2 linked regions of the Caenorhabditis elegans genome follow. The protein of the gene in region 1 purifies or fractionates together with the protein of each later gene. This does not show direct contact. Each region holds a gene or a part of one and is shown on either strand. Other genes may lie near its edges.

Region 1 (3,766 bases):
TCTAAAATCTCAAAATCTTATAAACATTCTAAACACTAATCACTTGGAACTGGCTGCATATGATTTGTTGGTATTGTATCGTTCAAAAAACGTTTTTGGATCAAGCAATTCTCTGTTATCCGTTCAATTTTTCAGTGATTATTTTTGATCTAGTTGCACTTGTTCATTTTGATTGCTTCCTAGTTTTCGATTCAAATATGCATGTTCGAGTAAGACCATCTTTGGAACACGTTTCTGCACACATTTTCTGTTCAGTCTTTCTTGGTTTTGTCGTGCAGGATCCAGTTCATTTCGGTTTTCATATCGGATGAATACTGACTTTTCTCGTGCACGAACCCTGAGTCCACGTATCACTTCTATCTTGTCTCGGATATCTGCCAATCTTACATGGGATTAATTTTCTGAAGAACATAGACAAAAATCCCAGTCTTTAAAGATACAATTCACTTCTGCTCACTTTCTTCAGTGTGTTTCTTGGAGAAACTATGTCTGCTCTCAGCAAAAAAGGCAACAAAAATTGTAAAGAATTAAAAAATAGTTTTATCACTTGTATCAAATTGCGCAGGTGGTATATGGTGTATTTGAATAAGTTTTCTTGTAGTTGACGGTCGGATGATGAGGAATGCCACACATGTATCCCATGATTTCCTTTCTTATCGGTCTTCTGACAAAGGGCTGGATCCATCTAAAAAGCAATTCTAATTGAGATGTCATAATACTGATTTATACTCAAATCCCCCGTCACATTGATCGATTGATCTAATTTGGAATCTATGTTCCTTCTTGCCATTGAGTGGAATTTCTTTTAAAATGCTTTTGAATATCGCCTGAGCCACTTTACTATCATCAGCATATAGTGGAGTCAATACACATTCACCAGATGGATAGATGATCACATTTCCAAATCCAATCACTTTTCCATTATTGTCGTATGCTACCTAAAGATGTTCAATTGATAAAACTCAACTTTTGAAACAAACCTTTCCAAAACCTTCAGGATCTCTAAGAAGATTTAACATGTACTTGGATCTTTCATATGGAAACACAGTGTTATCATATTTCACAATATCCATATCTGGTACCTCCGTTGCATTTTTAAGGAATATTCCATCAAGATTCAAGTCTTCAGGAATCTGCATCTCATCTGGCTTGTAATAGGAAACGTACATGATATGCTGGTAATTATTAGTTCCATATATTTTTTTGATCATGTTAGCCGCTGGTGGCAAATACGTGCCGACATTATTATCCGATTGATTTCGAGCTCTGAGTTTTTCTATGTAGTCCATAATTTCCATACTATCCTTTCCACGATAATCGGGATCAATCCAGAAAAATCCATGATACTGATGGAGAATATCATTGTGAGAAGGCAATGGTGGGAAATTCAATACATGTGACATTTGGACTATCTTGTTAGTTCCTTTCAGACATACAAGCCACAGAGAGTAACTATCTTTGAAAGATTTTCTCCAAATATCAATATCATTCCTCTTGAAGTTCAACCGCTGATTTCCGTACTGAAACATTATATTTAACTGCACTTGTGCAACTTGAAAATGTCTTACCACTTTCATGTACTCATCAACCATCTTCTCATCAGGATCAATTACAAAATCTACATTATGAATTGTCAGTGCATCTCTTGGTTTTCCATCAACAGTCTTGAATGTGATGGAACTGATTGACTTCACTGATGAAGAAATCTTCGTGAGCTTACGGCCAATGGCTAGGGATTTAGAGAGCATTTAAGTAGATTTTTGCAAATCTAGTTTTTTTAATTGAACAGAAATTGGAACTGTTAAAGGTTAGTCGAACACGTAAGGTCTCCGAAGGTTCTACATGTCACGTTAGAAACAGTTTTAAAAATTAATCAATTGAGACTATGGTTTGTATTATATATTTAGATCAATTTTTCGAACACGCAATTATTTAATACCCGTTTACTTTTTTTGTGATTCTTTTTGACCTACATAATTGCCATCTAAAACGTTCATTTTGATTGCTTCCTGGTTTTTGCTTAAAATAAACAAGTTTGGATGAGACCATCTTTTCAAAAAGTTTCTATAGCGATCAGGCCTTGTCTGTTGTCTTTAATCATGCACCTACACAGGATTCACATCTCAATTTGGTTTTCTACCCAACACGTGAATGATGACTCTCCTCGTGTACGTTTCCGAAATCTTTGTTTCACTGATAAATTTTGACTCAGTCCGTCTTTGATAGGATCAATTTTCTAAAGAGCACAAAGCTTATTTAATGCGTTTCCTGGACTTTGTCTGATCTCCACAAAAATCAAAAATAAATTCTTAATGGGTTTTGTTCAAATCGTTTTATCGGACTCATACAATATCTCCAGATCAATCGTTTTCCGCTCAAATTACGCAGGTCGTGTACGGCGTGTTCGCATAAGTTTTCTTGTAATTGACGGTTGGAGGATGAGAAGAACCAGCCATGTATCCCATGATTTCCTTTCTTATTGGGTTTTTAACAAAGGGTTGAATCCATCTAAAAATAAAATGAAAATTGAGATATCATAAAACAAAAACTAACTCAAATCCTCCTTCACATTGATCGATTGATCTTATTTGGAATCTCAAAAGCTTCTTGTCATTGAGTGGAATTTCTTTTAAAATGCTTTTGAATATTGCCTGAGCCACTTTACTATCATCAGCATATAGTGGAGTCAATACACATTCACCAGATGGATAGATGATCACATTTCCAAATCCAATCACTTTTCCATTATTGTCGTATGCTACCTAAAGATGTTCAATTGATAAAACTCAACTTTTGAAACAAACCTTTCCAAAACCTTCAGGATCTCTAAGAAGATTTAACATGTACTTGGATCTTTCATATGGAAACACAGTGTTATCATATTTCACAATATCCATATCTGGTACTTCCGTTGCATTTTTAAGGAATATTCCATCAAGATTCAAGTCTTCAGGAATCTGCATCTCATCTGGCTTGTAATACGAGACATACATTATATGTTTGTAATCAGCATGCCCATGCATTTTCGTCCACATAGTCACAGCTGTAGTCAAAAACGTTCCAGCATCATTATCCGATTGATTCCGAGCTCTGTGCTTTTCGATGTAATCCATGATTGCCATACTATCCTTTCCACGATAATCAGGATCAACCCAGAAAAATCCATGATACTGATGGAGAATATCATTGTGAGAAAGCAATGGTGGGAAATTCAATACATGTGACATTTGGACTATCTTGTTAGTTCCTTTCAGACATACAAGCCACAGAGAGTAACTATCTTTGAAAGATTTTCTCCAAATATCAATATCATTCCTCTTGAAGTTAAACCGCTGATTTCCGTACTGAAACATTATATTTAACTGCACTTGTGCAACTTGAAAATGTCTTACCACTTTCATGTACTCATCAACCATCTTCTCATCAGGATCAATTACGAAATCTACATTATGAATTGTCAGTGCATCTCTTGGTTTTCCATCAACAGTCTTGAATGTGATGGAACTGATTGACTTCACTGATGAAGAAATCTTCGTGAGCCTACGGCCGAGGGCAAGAGATTTGGAGAGCATTCAAGTAGATTTTTGCAGGTCTAGTTTTTTGAATTGATTACAAAATAAATTTAAATAGTTAGAACTTGCAAAGGTTAGTCGAACACGTGCGTTCTTTGAAATTGGGATAGGTCACGCTGACAATTTTACTTTTCTAAACCGAAACTGAGTATTATAAGGTCGTACAATCGATTCTCAATGACTGGATGTGTTTA
Region 2 (4,690 bases), on another chromosome or scaffold:
CAATTATTTATTCAAATTTTGCGCAAAAAAAGGTTGAATTCCCATATTTCCTATTTTCGATATTTTTTTTAAATCTATTTTTTATAAATTTTCCCGCATTTTTAGGACAAATTTGTGATTTTAGCGAATTTTTCCCGGATTTTTCAGCTGTCTAATTTTTTGCAATAATTGGAAAAAAATCAGAGCGGAAAAAAGAGGCGGGGCCTTGTTCTGCAAGTCTGCGGCGCAGTTTTTCCAGAATTTTGAGTTTAATAGTCTTCAACGCTGTTTTAGTGGTTTTTTTTGCAGTTTTTCAATGAAAATGTTTTTTTTGGGATTTTTTAAAGCTTAAATTTGCAATTTTCGTGGGTAAAATAAATCTTCAGGAAATTTCTGAAAATTTGGGTGAAAACCTTAAATGTTAGCAATTTTAATAGATTAATACGCAATTAAATGCATTTTCATTTGAAAGAGTAGAAAATCTCCATGTTTCAATATTTTTTTTCGTATTCATTAACTAGAAAGGCTAAAATTTCATGTTTTTAGCTTGATTTTCAAAAAATTACAGGAAAAACTCGGGAAATGTCGAAAATAGATCATCGTTATATTTTCTTTTAATAAAAACTCTAAAAATTCATAAAAAATATTTAAAAAAGTTTTTAAAAAAGTTCACCTCATTAACCTGAAGGGCTCGTATGGAGCTGGTCAAAAAGTTGAACAGCCCCGACGACGACGAGGACATTTTGATGGAAAAATAGTGAATATAGGGATGAATTCTAAGGTGAAGCCCAGGTAATAATAATAAGAAGAAGAAGTTCGTGGGTAAAAATAGATAAAATAATAGTGAGAAAATAAGTGAGTATGTGAGACAGTTCGTGCACCCTCACTCTATCTATAACCGTCTGCGTATCTCTCGGAGAAACTGTAGAAGAGAGTGAGAGAGTGGGAGAAAACGAGAAGCGCAGAGATAATACTTTGAGGAGGACGAGAGACTGAAGATGCCGATTTGTCGCCAGAAACACGAAGAAGAAGAAGATAATTGACCGATATATTCATTATATCGATCTTCCTGAGGAAAAAAGAGATAGATTGGAGACGGATTGGAGATTCAGGTGTACTTTTATGGCTAAGTTGCCGATGGAAGATAAGAAGAAAGTGACTGGGAGTTGATGAGCTTCGGAGCCAACTGAGCCAAGAGCTAGAAAACTAATGATTGAAGGTCAGGATCATCCATCTCGGTCATTAAATCAACACGAAAAACCATCTGAACTTTATCGAAGACGTAAATGATCGGAGATTCAGGTGTACTTTTATACTTTTATCGTTTAGCTAGAGTTGCCGATAGTAGATAAGGAGTTAAAAAAGGGAGTTGATGAGCTTCGGAGAGCAACTGAGCCAATTTTGAAGGCAGAATACATCTATCTCGGCCGTTAAATCATCGAAGACGTTGAGTAGATTGGGGGGGGGGGGGCTTCATCTAATGAAATTTTAAACAAGTACAACCGATGCGATGGACTGAAGTAGATCACAACTCGAGCTGGAAAAGCCTGCAATATCAATCTTCCTGAAAGATAGATCGGAGACGGATCGGAGATGGAGGTTTACTTTTATGGTTCAGCTAAGTTGCTGATAATGAAGATAAGAAGATAATGAAGTTGAGAGGAAGAGAGTTACAACAGGGGTGAGCGGCAGATCTCGAGCACGGCAAATTCGGCAAATTTGCTGATCTTAACAAACTCCGAAATTTTAACACACATCGGATTTCTGAATAAGTTCCGTGTAGAGTGTCTGCTTAATCCTCAAAATAACTCAATTTTGCGTCACTTTACTAAATTTTTGGGGGCAAAATCAATAGTTTTGGTCAAAATTGTATTATCAAATTTTTGATGTGTGCGGCAAATTCGGCAAATATACTTTTTTGAAATTTTCCGAGCTCGGCAAACTCCGCGAATTTGCCGCACACCGCTGAGTTGAAGCAGTGGTGGATTGCCAAAAAATTTGAAATACGGCATTTGCCGAATTATCGAAAAAAAATGTCCAATTCTCCTAATGAAACATCAAATTATTTCGATTTTCAATGGCTGGGGGAGAGAGAGAAACAATTTTTTCGAGCACTATAATTGTCGATTTGCCGAAAAGTTGGAGAGAGCCAAAAAGTAATTGAGACGACTGGAAAACAAAATGAAGAAAAAAAAATTAATTCCTGAGGCGTTGAAAGTTCGCAGAAAAAAACATTTTTGCTTCGCTATTGGCTAATTTCAAAATAGTGGGCGTGGCCAACCAATCAGCGATCGCAAAGTTTTAAGCTGAGCAATGGGAAAAGGCGAGAAAAATGGCTGATTGGTTGGTCACGCCTACTTTTTTGAAATTAGACCAATAGCGAAGCGAGCGAGAAAAGCTCATTTCAGTATTTTTCAAAAAACTTTACCAAATAAGCGCCTTGCAAAATTTCAGAATTCTCAGTAAAACAGCTTTTTAAGAAGACTTTCACCCGATTTTATAAATTTTTTCTCAAATTTCCATGAAAACTTACCGCAAAACGTGGTTTTTCATTAACTCCTCCTTTCGGTTTATCTCGTTCCGCCGATCCACCTTCCGCAGGCCATTCTGCTGGTTTATCCCATTGTGAGATCTGAAATTTTTGGGAAAAATTGTAAAATGTCAGTAAGTATTTGAATTTTCAAGGTTTTTTCTTTAAAAAAAAACACAAAATCACCCAACAAAAATCTTTAAAATTTCGGAAAAAAAGGCCCGAATTCACTTTTTTGATGCTGAAAAAAAAATTTCCCACTGAATTTCTCCAGAACTTATAGAAAAAAAGAAAACAGTTATTTTTTTCAAGAACTTCACTAGAAATCGCTCAAAAAAAAACCGGGAAGAGTGCTAAATTTGACGAAAAATGTTCAATTTTGCACCTTTTTTTTCGAAATGTTTGATTTTTTGGGTCGATTTTCAACCATTTTTTCGCCAAAAAATCATCCTTACCTCAGTCTTTTTGTTATAATAATACATTTTTCCACTGGAGCTCATTTGCTCCGTCCATCCTGCAAATGTTCGCGGTACACGCGACATTTTCGGATCTCGAAAATCAAATTTTTAACAAAAATGTTTTTAAAAATTAATAAAAAATAACAATTGGCTTATAGAAACCATTAAAAACAAAAAAAAACATCAGAAAAACGTTCTAAAAAATTTTTTAAATTTTATATTACAAAATTTACATTAGTTCTACGACGAGAATTGTCTAATCTTTTGCACACAAACGGAAAAATACACGAAAAATGAGAAAAAAAAGTCGCGGGGGAAATGAGAGATCATCACTGGAATGGGGGCACATTTTCGGATAAAAATTCGGGAAAAAGCTTAGAATTTCAGTTATTCATTGCCATCTGACTGTTGTTCTGGCTCCGAGAGTAGAGTCTGAAAATTTTGGGGTTTTTAAGTGTTTTTTGAGTTTTTTAAGGAGAAAATTCACTGAAATTCGTGTTTTTTTTTCTGGAAATACTGAGAAAATTACGATTTTGGAATTAAAATTGGTTTTTTTTTTAATTTTTTGGCGTTTTTCGACAAAAAATTGTCTGAAATCCGTGTTTTCTTTTCTGGAAATACTGAGAAAAATACATTTTTTGAATTAAAGTTGGTTTTTTCGACTGATTTTATGAATTTTTACATAATTTCTTGCAATTTTTCGAGTTTCTACACAAATTTTACACCTAAATTTCCTAAAAAGCTAGTTTTTGGAGTTTTTATCGAGCTTCCAAACTGTTTTATACTTGAAAATGGGAGAAAAACCTCATGTGTCGATTTACGCTGCTCGTGTACTCCTCGAGGAGAAGAGTTTTCAGTTTTTGGCTAAATTAATCCTAATTTTGAACCTTTTTTATCGATTTTTTATCTATTTAACACGCTAAATTGCCAATTTATTTCATTTTTTGGTGTTTTTGAATGAAAATCAACGTGTTCAAAAACTGCAAAAACGCCATTTTTGAAGCTAAAATCCAACAATAATCGAGATATAGTTCCGAAAACTATGGAATTATCTCAAAAATTTTGCGGTTTTAACAAAAACTTTAGCGAAATCAACTAGAAAATTGATTTTCGAACCAATATTTGATTAAAATGGGAAAATAACCGTTTCTATATGAAATTTGGACGGAAAATTGAGAAATAAATAGTGTTTTAGGTGAAAATCGATCAATTTACTGTTGAAAAACTGTAAATTTTGCTTTTCAGTAGAATATGCACTAATTTACACCTAAAAAGCTGATTTAAATCGAAAATAATGCTAAAATGAGCCAAATTAGTCGAAAACCCCCTTTTTCGCATACTTTTTTCCTGAAAAACCGGGGAAATAATAAATGTTTGAATTTAATACTTCAAAAATTGATTTTTCGATTTTTTTTACTGATATTTTTTGAAATTTCAGCGATTTTCCACTAAATTTTCGCCTAAAATCACTATAAAATTGATTTTCCAACCGACATTCCTCTAAAATAGGGTAACTTTGTATTGAATAAGAATTTAAACTAAATTCGTCTGAAAAACTAGCAAAATACGGTTTTCGAACGATTTTTCAAAGAAAAATCAAATAAAACGATGAAAATTTACAGTTTTTCGACTATAAAACCAGGTTTTCGCTACAAAAACTCGAGAAAACGAGTGAAAAAGTAAGAAAACGGCACGAAAGTATTTTAAAAGCGGAGAGTGTTCG

The links.
Region 2: the proteins of C28D4.4 (region 1) and wac-1.1 fractionate together in Caenorhabditis elegans (co-fractionation; one large-scale study listed by BioGRID). This does not show direct contact.

The regions. Positions count from the first base shown.
Region 1 is NC_003282.8:9,743,236-9,747,001, forward strand, and holds C28D4.4 (DUF1248 domain-containing protein), read right to left. Parts: upstream 1,771-3,766; 5' UTR 1,749-1,770; coding exon 1,569-1,748; intron 1,521-1,568; coding exon 981-1,520; intron 939-980; coding exon 730-938; intron 686-729; coding exon 553-685; 3' UTR 525-552; downstream 1-524. Other genes in the region: C28D4.5 (DUF1248 domain-containing protein), read right to left, coding at 2,376-2,508, 2,554-2,762, 2,805-3,344, 3,393-3,572.
Region 2 is NC_003279.8:13,345,441-13,350,130, reverse strand, and holds the start of wac-1.1 (WW domain-containing protein), read right to left. Parts: upstream 3,062-4,690; 5' UTR 3,052-3,061; coding exon 2,965-3,051; intron 2,612-2,964; coding exon 2,513-2,611; intron 722-2,512; coding exon of another isoform or gene 653-721; intron 1-652. Other genes in the region: wac-1.2 (WW domain-containing protein), read right to left, coding at 3,355-3,399.